Rattus norvegicus: one gene and its partners. The protein of the gene in region 2 binds, or shares a complex with, the protein of the main gene of each other region. Links are inferred from orthologs where the notes say so. Each region holds a gene or a part of one and is shown on either strand. Other genes may lie near its edges. The genes, in order: Xpo5, Xpo1 and Pkia.

Region 1 (3,657 bases), on a different chromosome or scaffold from region 2:
AGAGGAGTGAGAGGGAGGGAGACCTGACTGCAAGGAACTGGTGGGACAGTGGACTTCAGTGCCGCATGATCCCTTTCCAGACAGAAAGAGTAAGACGGGGAAAACAGGAAGGCAGCTCCAGTGAGGGTGGGGTATTTTACAAACCCTCAGAGGGTCTCTCTGGAGATAAATTATTGTCTTCCTACTTCTTAGAAATATAACAAGTTTATTTTCTTTTCTACAGTTTGTTCAGTGCTTCTTTTTAGTCGGTTTGGGTTTGCCAGGGACGGTATATATGTAGTTTAGGCTAGCCCTACACATGCTGCCCTCCTGCCTTAACCTCCTAAATGCTGGATTCTAGGCATGAACCACCTGGGTTTTGTATTTATTTATTTTAGAGTTCTCTCTTCGGCCTATGCCTCCTAAGTATTGGCTGCTACCACTCCAGGATTTATTTTGTTTTGGTTTTGAGTAACAATCTCAGTGTTCTCCAGGCTGACCTGGAAATCTTGGGCTCACCATCTTCCTTAGCCTCCTGGTAGCTGGAGCTACAGATGAAGGCTGGTACAAAAGAACACTCAAGACTTCGTGTTCATCCAGAGCCTTTTGTGTAGGATGTCTTTTAAGTCTCCTCAGCAGCGCGGGCCTGGGATGTACAGCTAAACAGAAAAGGCAGTTAGGCTGATGCACAAGACATTGAGTATTTGCAGTTTAGGATTCCAGGTCAAGCAGGAGTGGTTTTCCTGCCAACACAGGACATGGTTGGCACTCGAAAGCCCTAGTAGACTGCCCGGTAGTGCAGCTTGTTGGCTGGAGAAAGAATGGCCTGCTCATATGAGGAACTCCTTAACCTGCGGTAGCACGTGTCTTCGTGAAGCCCCTCGTGCTCTTCTGCCCCCCAGAACACTATGAGACCCTGATATCTCCCATCCTTGGACCGCTCTTCACCTACCTTCACATGGTAAGTGGGTCGGCGCAGTGGGCAAAGAGAACTGGGGAGACGGCTCAGGCTGTAAAGCGCCCATAAAGTGTAATGACATGAATGTAGATCTCCAGAAGACACATGAAAGCCAGGCGTGTTGCCACACATCTGTAACCACACAGCATCTGGAGCTCTTTGGCCCAACAGACTATGATAATTGATAAGCTCCAAGTTCGGGGAGATTCAAAACTATGATGAAGGCGGACAGAAACACTTCATCTCCAGCCTCAACACAGGTGTGCACATGGCCCGTACAGAGCACCAGATGCACACACACACAAGGGTGCATGGCTGCTCTGGAGTCTTACCCTAAGGGGCTCCTGAAGTGCTCCCCCAGCGCCAACATGCCGTCTGTGAGGTGTCTCCCCAGCAGATGATTGCTGCTGTGTGTAGAGCAGTCCCAGAGAGACAGGCAGCTTTGTTGCTACGGGGCAACAAACAGTCCTGCTTAAGTCCTCCAGTGAGGAGAGATGATCAAAGGACTGTTTCCTCTGCATCTGCTCATGGCTCTAGGATGAAGCAGTAGACAGCTTGACAGAGAACAGATGTTTCCAGAGAGAACCAGAACTTCTCAGTGTTAATCAGTTTCAGCAGATGGTTGACATTCTGTCCTTGTCAGTCAGCAGAGTAAGGCTATAGAAACCGTACCTCCTTTTCACTGCATTTGGTCTGCCTGGCTTGGGAGATGTTGTTACAGGAAGGTGACTGACATCCCTGAATCCCTTAGATTGGCAATAAATGCAAATATTGAATTCTTCAATACTTGTAACATAGAAGTTTGATATCTGTTCCAACAATTCAACTCTTTCCTGTCTTGACTAAATCAAAAGTTATTGCTAACATTAATTAAAGTTCCTGTTTTAGATTCCTTTTTTCATATTTGGGCCTTGGTACAATTTAGTTTATAATTTAGAAAAATGACTTTAGGTTGACATAATGAGTTTCTTTCTGGGTAATTAGTTGGGCCTATAGTTCACCTTAATGGCTGTGTGTTACCCCTTACATCTATAATCCCAGCACCAAGGAAGCTGGAACAGGAGGATCACTCACACGTTTAAGGCGAGCCTGGGATTTATAGTGAGTTCTTTTTTTTTTTTTTTTTTTTTTTTTTTGTTCTTTTTTTCGGAGCTGGGGACCGAACCCAGGGCCTTGCGCTTCCTAGGTAAGCGCTCTACCACTGAGCTAAATCCCCAGCCCCTTATATAGTGAGTTCTTGGACAGCCTAGACTACAGAGTAAGAAGAAAAATTAGTAGTAGGCCATGTTCTCCAGCCTCTGTCCATTCTAGCACTTGTCTTGTCTCTCCAGAGGCTTTCTCAGAAGTGGCATGTCATCAACCAGAGGAGTGTCCTGTGGTAAGGAGTACCCCTCCTTGGTGGGTGAGCCAGCAGCCAGCTTCCGGTGGGGAAAGGAAGAAGGGGCAGGCAGGTTCTGACTACCCTGTGGCTAGAATGGCAGTGGTTTATAACCACCTCCAGCCTAGATGGGAGGCAGTTTGTCTGGACAGGCTGTTACCAGTGAGTGGGCAGATACTGAACTCAAACCTTTCTGTGGTTTCCCCCTTACCTCTCCTGAGCCCTCCATTATTCCAACGAAGCCGTCTCAAAAGACAGTGTCCTGCTGTTGATCCCTGGTAACAGCTTCAGAACACAGACATGGGGAGAAACAGCATAGAACTGGCCTTAGGGAGGGCAGGTGCGGGTCACCACTTTTCTTATCCTCGGCGATTTTGCTCTTTCATGGAATGTGTCCCCTGGTTCTTGGCAGTGGAGAAGATGAGATTGCAGAGGACAACCCCGAATCTCAAGAAATGCTGGAGGAACAGCTGGTGAGGATGTTAACCCGAGAAGTCATGGACCTAATCAGTAAGTGACTTGTGGGGACCAGGGAAGCTGCTCACCCGGCCACCCCAAGGCTGAAGGATAACAAGGCCCCACACAGACAAAAGCTAATAGTCCAAGTCAGTCTCTGAATGAAGTGTTCACAACCAAATAAGAAAGGGATCCAAAATGAGAACTTGAACAACAAAGTTGGCAACAACTTTCTAGCTTGATAAAATAAGAAAAAGTTTAATTCTTGAACATGGATGTCAATTTCTATGTTCAGAAATGTTGACAGATTCAATACTAGTCATTTATTGTCAATCCAAAGTAGTTAGGGATATGTCAGTCACCTTCCCTAAGAGTAGTCTGTGATGTCCCCCTAGCTGACTGACTGGAGGAGGGACCCCCTGTCTGGTTGGGGTCCTCAGAATACCACCTTCTATCGGGGAAGCTGATTTTTATTCTGTGGACAGTATCTGCCCACCAGCCTTCATGTGGCCAGTGATGGCCTGAGATAGTTGGTGAGAGGAGGCTTTATGGAGTGGGTAGACGGGACCTTCTCCTAGCCTAGGAACTGTGCTCTCTCCTAGTGGCTTGTTGTGTGTCAAAGAAGACTGCCGAGCACACTGCCACTCCCACTGCGGATGGAGACGGTAAGTGAGCGGTGGCTCAGCCCTTAGAGAGAGACAGGACAGACCTACCATAGTCTCGTGCTGCCCTGCTTGCAGTTTCCTTCTACCATGACATGACCCTCTCCGCTCATCAGTCTCCGCTCTTATGTTATCTCCTCCCAAGCACCTGTGATTGCCTGCACTGTTTCCGTTTAATTCCTTGCCTGTCCCCCTCACTGTGGGCTGTCTTAGGGACGGGACCA
Region 2 (2,535 bases):
TGCTCTCCACCCCCTTTTTTCTATCTGAGACCCCTTTCTCTCTCACTCCAAGTGTTTCCTCTTCCCTTCTCTTTCCCCCTCCTTTGCCTCTACCCCCTTCCCTTCTCAACTACCCTTCCTTTGATCCAAAATAAACTCTATTCTATATAAAAAAGGGGGTGGGGAAGATAAGGTGGTGAGGGGGAGAAAAGGGTTGGATGTAGCTCAGTAGAATGTTTGCCTGCTATATGCACGAGAATATGATCTAAATTATGTGCACACTTATAAAAACGTAAGAGATGGACTATAGAGTAGGTAAGAGCACTGACCGCTCTTCCAGAAATTCTCAGTTCAATCCCCAGCACCCACATGGTGGCTCACAACCATCTGTAATGAGATCTGATGCCTTCTTGTGTGTCTGAAGGACTCATACATATAAAATAAAAAAAAAAAAAAAAGAAAAAGCCAGACTTAAAAGAGACGAAAGCACTCCTGGACCTTGCTGAGTAGTCTGTCCTAAATATGAGTCTGTCCTAAATGAGTGAGCTTTAGAGTCCTGCTCTCAAAAGGACACAGGCAGCATTCCTGAAGACCTCCACCATATCCAAGTGCAGATGTATGGACACAAACAACATTTAAGTCAGCCAGGAACCTTGTCTCAAAAAAGTCAAAACAAAGAAATAGAAAACTTAAATACCTTTATTTGAACTAAGAAATCCCTTAGATGTTCTTTGAAAGCAGGAATATCTTGATTTAAGCTGAAAAGTCCTGTCACAAAGAGCTTTACTTGAGCACTGCAAATCAAAACAAAAATTAATCTTTAAAACCTAAACATTTAAAGTGCCATTTAAGAACCATTTCCTTATCCCCAGTACATTTACCAAATTAAAAAAACTTCAATAACAGAGAACTAGATATTCAGCCTGCAAAGGTGCTTGCAATAATAAAGCCTGGTGGGGTTGGGGATTTAGCTCAGTGGCAGAGCAGGGTTCGGTCCCCAGCTTCGAAAAAAAGAAAAAAAAAAATGTGCTGCAGTGATGTCTTATTAGGCAGAAGCTCTTACTTTCTTCCCAAGAATCCAAATCCCAGCCCCTGCACCCCTATCAGTTAGCTAGAACTGCCTCAATCTCCATCAGAATGGCTGCCTTGGTCCTCCACCTAAACCCACCCATACGGTAATAGTAATGTAATCATTTACTCTTGTAGGTGAGGGAACGCAGACTTAAGGAGATTAGCCACGTAGTCTTGAATAAACATCTGGTTGCTAACTGGACTTCCGGGATTTAGCGGTGTGCTTATCTTTCCTTCTTCAACCAAATTAAACATATATGCGAGAATTGATGCATGCATTGTTAGACCTGTTGAACAGAGCAAACCGATTAATCCGAAGACGGACCCTAACAACCAGAGCAATGAGAGGTTAGTCACGTTCGGCTCTTACCCGCAGTATGTGAGGTGTCTGTCACAACAGAAAAGATATGCTGAAGAATGTCACAAAAGTACGTTTGGTAAAAACTCTGCGCTGCAGCTTCTTCTTGTGCAACATTTTGTAAAAGTGTAAAAAGTATCTGTAAGCCTAAAACAACAACAACAACAAAATCATTACAAACTATGATTTGTGTAAAAAAAAGACAGGCTCATGAGGTGGTCTTGGCACTGGGGTTTCCTTTGTGAGCTGCTGAGATAGGAACTCTATCGCAATGACTTACTTCTAACTTCTGAGCATCTCAAGCTACACACAGTTATATTGTAATTTACAGCAACAGAAAGCTGGTTAAAGCCTGTTCTTTGTAGAGGATAATATAAAACTTCTATAAATACTTAAATATGGAGCGCCTCATGATAGTTAATGCTAATGTACACTTGTGGAAACTTCCTTTTAAAAAAAAAAAACATTTATTATGTATACGTCATACAGCTTTCTACCTGCATGTATGCCTGCAGGCCAGAAGCGGGCATCAGACCTGATTATAGATGGTTACGAGCCAACATGGGGGTGCTGGGAATTGAACTCAGGACCTCTGGAAGAGCAGACAGTGTTCTTAACCTCTGAGCCATCTCTCCAGCCCCCTGTGGCAACTTCTTAATCCACGACAGGTTCCAAATTTAATCTGGATTTTCTTTTTTCCCTTCCTTTTTCTTTTTTTGGAGTATAACCCTGACAGTCCCAAAACTTGGGTATTATGTAAGACCAGGATGGCCTCAAATTCAAGCTGTGCCCCCCAGTGCTGATATTAAAGGTATGTGGTGCCACCTTGTCCAGCTGAGCTCACCCCATTCCCATTTTTTTTTTTGCTTCTCTCTATTCATTTTAAATTAGCAACAGAGCTCACAGACTCCAAAGTATGCCAAAGGCATCATAGCACATAGTCAGATACTAAGCAAAGACAGGCCGTTTATTTACTCAGAGTGGTGCCCTGTAAATGAGGCTGGCCTTATGCTAGAAGCCTATCATTATGCCACTTCAACTTCTCCAGGATTAGGATTAAAGGCATGAATGACCAAACCTGATATTTGGGTTATTTTAACCAAACATTTTAAACTACTTTTTTTTTT
Region 3 (3,657 bases), on a different chromosome or scaffold from region 2:
CTGGAGTGAAAAGTAGGACATCGTACACAGCAAATATATGTTCTAGCATAGGGCTATAACTCTAGCCCATTAGAATTTTGATTTTTTTAAAATAACTGTTATGTTGCTTTGTAATTATAATATAATTACACCATTTTCCCTCAGAGTTCTTCCCTCCAACTCCTCCCATAAGTCATCTAGTGCTCTCTCGCTTTCTCTCTCTCTCTCTCTCTCTCTCTCTCTCTCTCTCTCTCTGTCTGTCTCTCTCTCTCTCTGTCTCTCTCTCAATTCATGGCCTCTTTTCTTTAATTGTTACATATTTATACAAGAATGTATTAATACAACCTGCTCAGGCTGTACAGTGTTACCAATATGTATATTATCTTAGTGTTACCTATATGTATATTATCTTAGTGTTACCTATATGTATATTATCTTAGGACCAGACTTGATATTGGATAGCCAGTTTAAATAATCTTCCCTGGAAAAGACTATTTCTCCTACTCTTAGCACTCCCCATCTGCCAATAATTCTTTGTCTAGGGTTGAGGCCTATGAACTTTCCCCTTTCTATATTACCATATCCATTGGTGTCCTTGTTGTTCAGGTCCTGTTTAGGAATGTGCTGTGGTTTGAATAAGTACGGCTTCCTAGGTTCATATATTTGAATGCTTAATCACCAGTGAATGGAACAATTTGAAATTATTAGAGATTGGGAGATGTGACCTTGTTGGAGGAAGTGTGTCCCTGGCTTTGAGTTTTCACAAGCCAGCACCAAACTCAGTGTCTCTTCTCTCTAACTATAGGTCAGGATATAGATTTCTCAGCTGCTTCTCTAGTACCATGTCTACCAGCATGCCACCATGTTCCCCTCTCTGATAATAATGAAATAACCCCTCAAACTGTAAGCAAGCCTTAAATTAAATGTTTTTTTTATAAGAGTAACTTTAGCCATGGTGTCTCTTAACACCAATAAAACAGTGACTAAAACATGAAGCCATATTGATGAGACTTCATTGAAATATAACTTTTATGACATTTCTAGTAAACTTGTCTCACACCAAACTTTATGCTTCCTTGGCTTCTACAATCCAACTCCCAGTCTCGTCAGTAGTGATCCTTGAGCCTTAAGTTTAGGAATTGGGTTCTGTTTGAGTCAACTGAGACTGGGTACCAGAATGTCTTTGCATTTTGATTGCTTTTGTTTTTCTGTAATGGCATGCATTTGTTGCAAAAGGAAATTTCTACAATAAGTCATGAATTATATTTATCTGTGAGTGTAAGAGTAAACATTTAGAATGCAGTTAAGAATTATGCTGGTTTAGTAGAGCCGCAGTTAGAGAGGTGTTGGTTACTGTGGGGGTGTGTGTACGACTATCGCACCCTTAGGGTATTTCTGGCATGCTGGTCATTCATAATGGTTTGACAAACGTTTCAGACAAGAATCAAAACACTACTTCTAACAATTGTTTCCTGTTCATTTTTAAGCCATTCATTAATCTCACTGTGTTAAACATTCAGCATTGACTCTTATTGCACTCACCTGTTTACTTTTCTTTCTCTTGTAGTCCCTGCTATGTGGATATTTGTTAGCAATGACTGATGTGGAAACTACGTATGCAGATTTTATTGCCTCAGGAAGAACAGGTAGAAGAAATGCAATACATGATATCTTGGTTTCCTCTGCAAGTGGCAACAGCAATGAATTAGCCTTGAAATTAGCAGGTCTTGATATTAACAAGACAGGTGAGTCACCCAATGTACACCTTTCCAGGAACATGGAATGATTTGGCATTTTCCTACCCAAGATTAGGGCACAAAAACAAAAAACAAAAAAAAAAAAACAAACCAACAAACAAACAAACAAAACCAGCCACAACCAAAAATGCTTCCTTTGAAATTAAATGACACAGGTAAAAACAGTTCAGGCAAAATGAAAGTCTGGTTAGTTCCCCAATCCCACCATTTTTCAATGACTTCTCACTCAAAAATTAAAACCATAATCCAAAAAATTCAATATCTACAAAACTTTCAAATTACTTATGGAAAAACCTTAACCGAGTTAGGACTCCTACCACGGATAACACTGGCTACCTCCTCCATTTCATACATACTTACAAAGATTCACAATTGAGTCAGGAAGGCCTCAAAGAATCATTTCAAAAGAGGTACCCTAGAACCATTTTTATTGAGACTGATAATCAAAAAGTTTGTTATAAAATGGTTCTTTATTATAGTGGTTTTTAAATTTTTGAGATTGGGTGGTTTTGTGGGAAAAAAATGTGTTTGGTCACCTGGCATTACTAGTGAAAAAGAAGAATACCTTAATACATTAAAATATTTGATAGTGTCTATTTTGAGTATTAAAATAAGTTCTTTAGTAGTTCCTCCAGCCATAGCTTCTTCAAGTTTATTAAGAAGACTAGCACAAAATAATGATTAAATATAAAAAAGAATTCATAATCAAGGAACCACAGTGTTATATACATAAGATCTCACTATTTTCTGACTGTATTTGGGACATTCAGTATGGCTTTACTCTGAGAGTATATTGCAAAAGTCTTCAGATTGTTGAGAAATGAGTAAGGTTATGTATGTGATTTTTAAAAGACAGAATTTTTTTTCAATTACTAAAAGTCAGTAGTCATAGAAACCATTTTAATTTTAGATTAATGACAAATGTTGACCACATGGCTTTGGGCTGCACAGACCTGCATATTCTAGGGCTCGTTGTTTCTCCACCATTATTGTATACACTTAATTCTCAATGCCCTTTGAAGAAAGACTAGAGGACATTATTTCGTTTTACTGTCATGAAATGAGTAAATACATTTTTCTTGTGGTACAGAAATCTTGCTGATTTCTTTTAATAGATTTATATTTTAATCTTACATAAATATTCAATTTTAAGTGATTGCATGAATTTCAAGAAGTCTTAAAATTTGAGTCATAGAGTAGTTTCCTCTGTTTTGCCTGCTAGCTTTAAGACCTTTTTTATACAAGAGAAAATATTAGATTACCATAGGTAATTTCACTAATTCTGATATTTATATTCATAAATATAAAAAGTAAAATATTGCATTAAATACAATTTAATTATATAATTTGAAAAAAATCAAATACATTGCTGGTTATAGTGTATCTTGTTTTCTAAAGAACTCTGGATTCTATTTACAATGATCTAAGCCCGTGTAAATTTTTTAGTTTCTCTTCAAATCATGAAGTCTAGAACTAGGCAAACTGTTAACATCACTGACTTTATCATTCTCCATGCACAGAACAAATAATAATAATCAATATGAATATCTAAACTATAAAATGTGCATACCTAAAAGCAAACTTAATACACATATGTCTATTTTCTTACAATACATATTCAGCAACATCATTCTCTTTCATTAGTTTACAAACATCATTTAACCACATCTCTGTTTGCAATGTGATGTCAAATTCTAAGAAGAGTCCTCAAGCACCAGGAGGCTCCAATCCTCATGGGAGTTGGGTTTCTCATGTGGTATTTATACAATCACTTTCATCCTGCAGTATTCTACTGTCTGTCATCTGCCTAGATATGACTCCCTTCAGTTGGTTATCAAACATGGTTCCCATAATGGACTCCTTATTCTGTGCTTGAATATACCCTCACATCTGGGCCTTCTGCACATCTTGAAGGCTTCTC

What was found.
Region 1: Xpo1 (region 2) and Xpo5 share a complex: the UniProt entries of both Homo sapiens proteins name them as parts of the nuclear export receptor complex. The link is inferred for Rattus norvegicus from reciprocal best matches to the Homo sapiens genes XPO1 and XPO5.
Region 3: the proteins of Xpo1 (region 2) and Pkia are in contact, whole or in part, in an NMR structure (PDB 2L1L), measured with the Homo sapiens proteins. The link is inferred for Rattus norvegicus from reciprocal best matches to the Homo sapiens genes XPO1 and PKIA. Residues at the interface, in NP_003391.1 of Homo sapiens: Val518, Lys522, Leu525, Cys528, Glu529, Lys534, Lys537, Ala538, Ala541, Ile544, Phe554, His558, Lys560, Phe561, Thr564, Lys568, Phe572, Glu575, Thr576, Val580; in NP_006814.1 of Homo sapiens: Asn36, Leu38, Ala39, Lys41, Leu42, Ala43, Gly44, Leu45, Asp46, Ile47, Asn48, Glu51.

What each region holds. Positions count from the first base shown.
Region 1 is NC_086027.1:22,241,225-22,244,881, reverse strand, and holds part of Xpo5 (exportin-5), read left to right. Parts: intron 1-842; coding exon 843-940; intron 941-2,268; coding exon 2,269-2,315; intron 2,316-2,727; coding exon 2,728-2,825; intron 2,826-3,373; coding exon 3,374-3,436; intron 3,437-3,657. UniProt on the Homo sapiens protein: Mediates the nuclear export of proteins bearing a double-stranded RNA binding domain (dsRBD) and double-stranded RNAs (cargos). XPO5 in the nucleus binds cooperatively to the RNA and to the GTPase Ran in its active GTP-bound form.
Region 2 is NC_086032.1:101,472,407-101,474,941, reverse strand, and holds part of Xpo1 (exportin-1), read right to left. Parts: intron 1,556-2,535; coding exon 1,421-1,555; intron 1,338-1,420; coding exon 1,178-1,337; intron 774-1,177; coding exon 677-773; intron 1-676. UniProt on the Homo sapiens protein: Mediates the nuclear export of cellular proteins (cargos) bearing a leucine-rich nuclear export signal (NES) and of RNAs.
Region 3 is NC_086020.1:96,311,321-96,314,977, reverse strand, and holds part of Pkia (cAMP-dependent protein kinase inhibitor alpha), read left to right. Parts: intron 1-1,546; coding exon of another isoform or gene 1,547-1,573; coding exon 1,574-1,724; intron 1,725-3,657. UniProt on the Homo sapiens protein: Extremely potent competitive inhibitor of cAMP-dependent protein kinase activity, this protein interacts with the catalytic subunit of the enzyme after the cAMP-induced dissociation of its regulatory chains.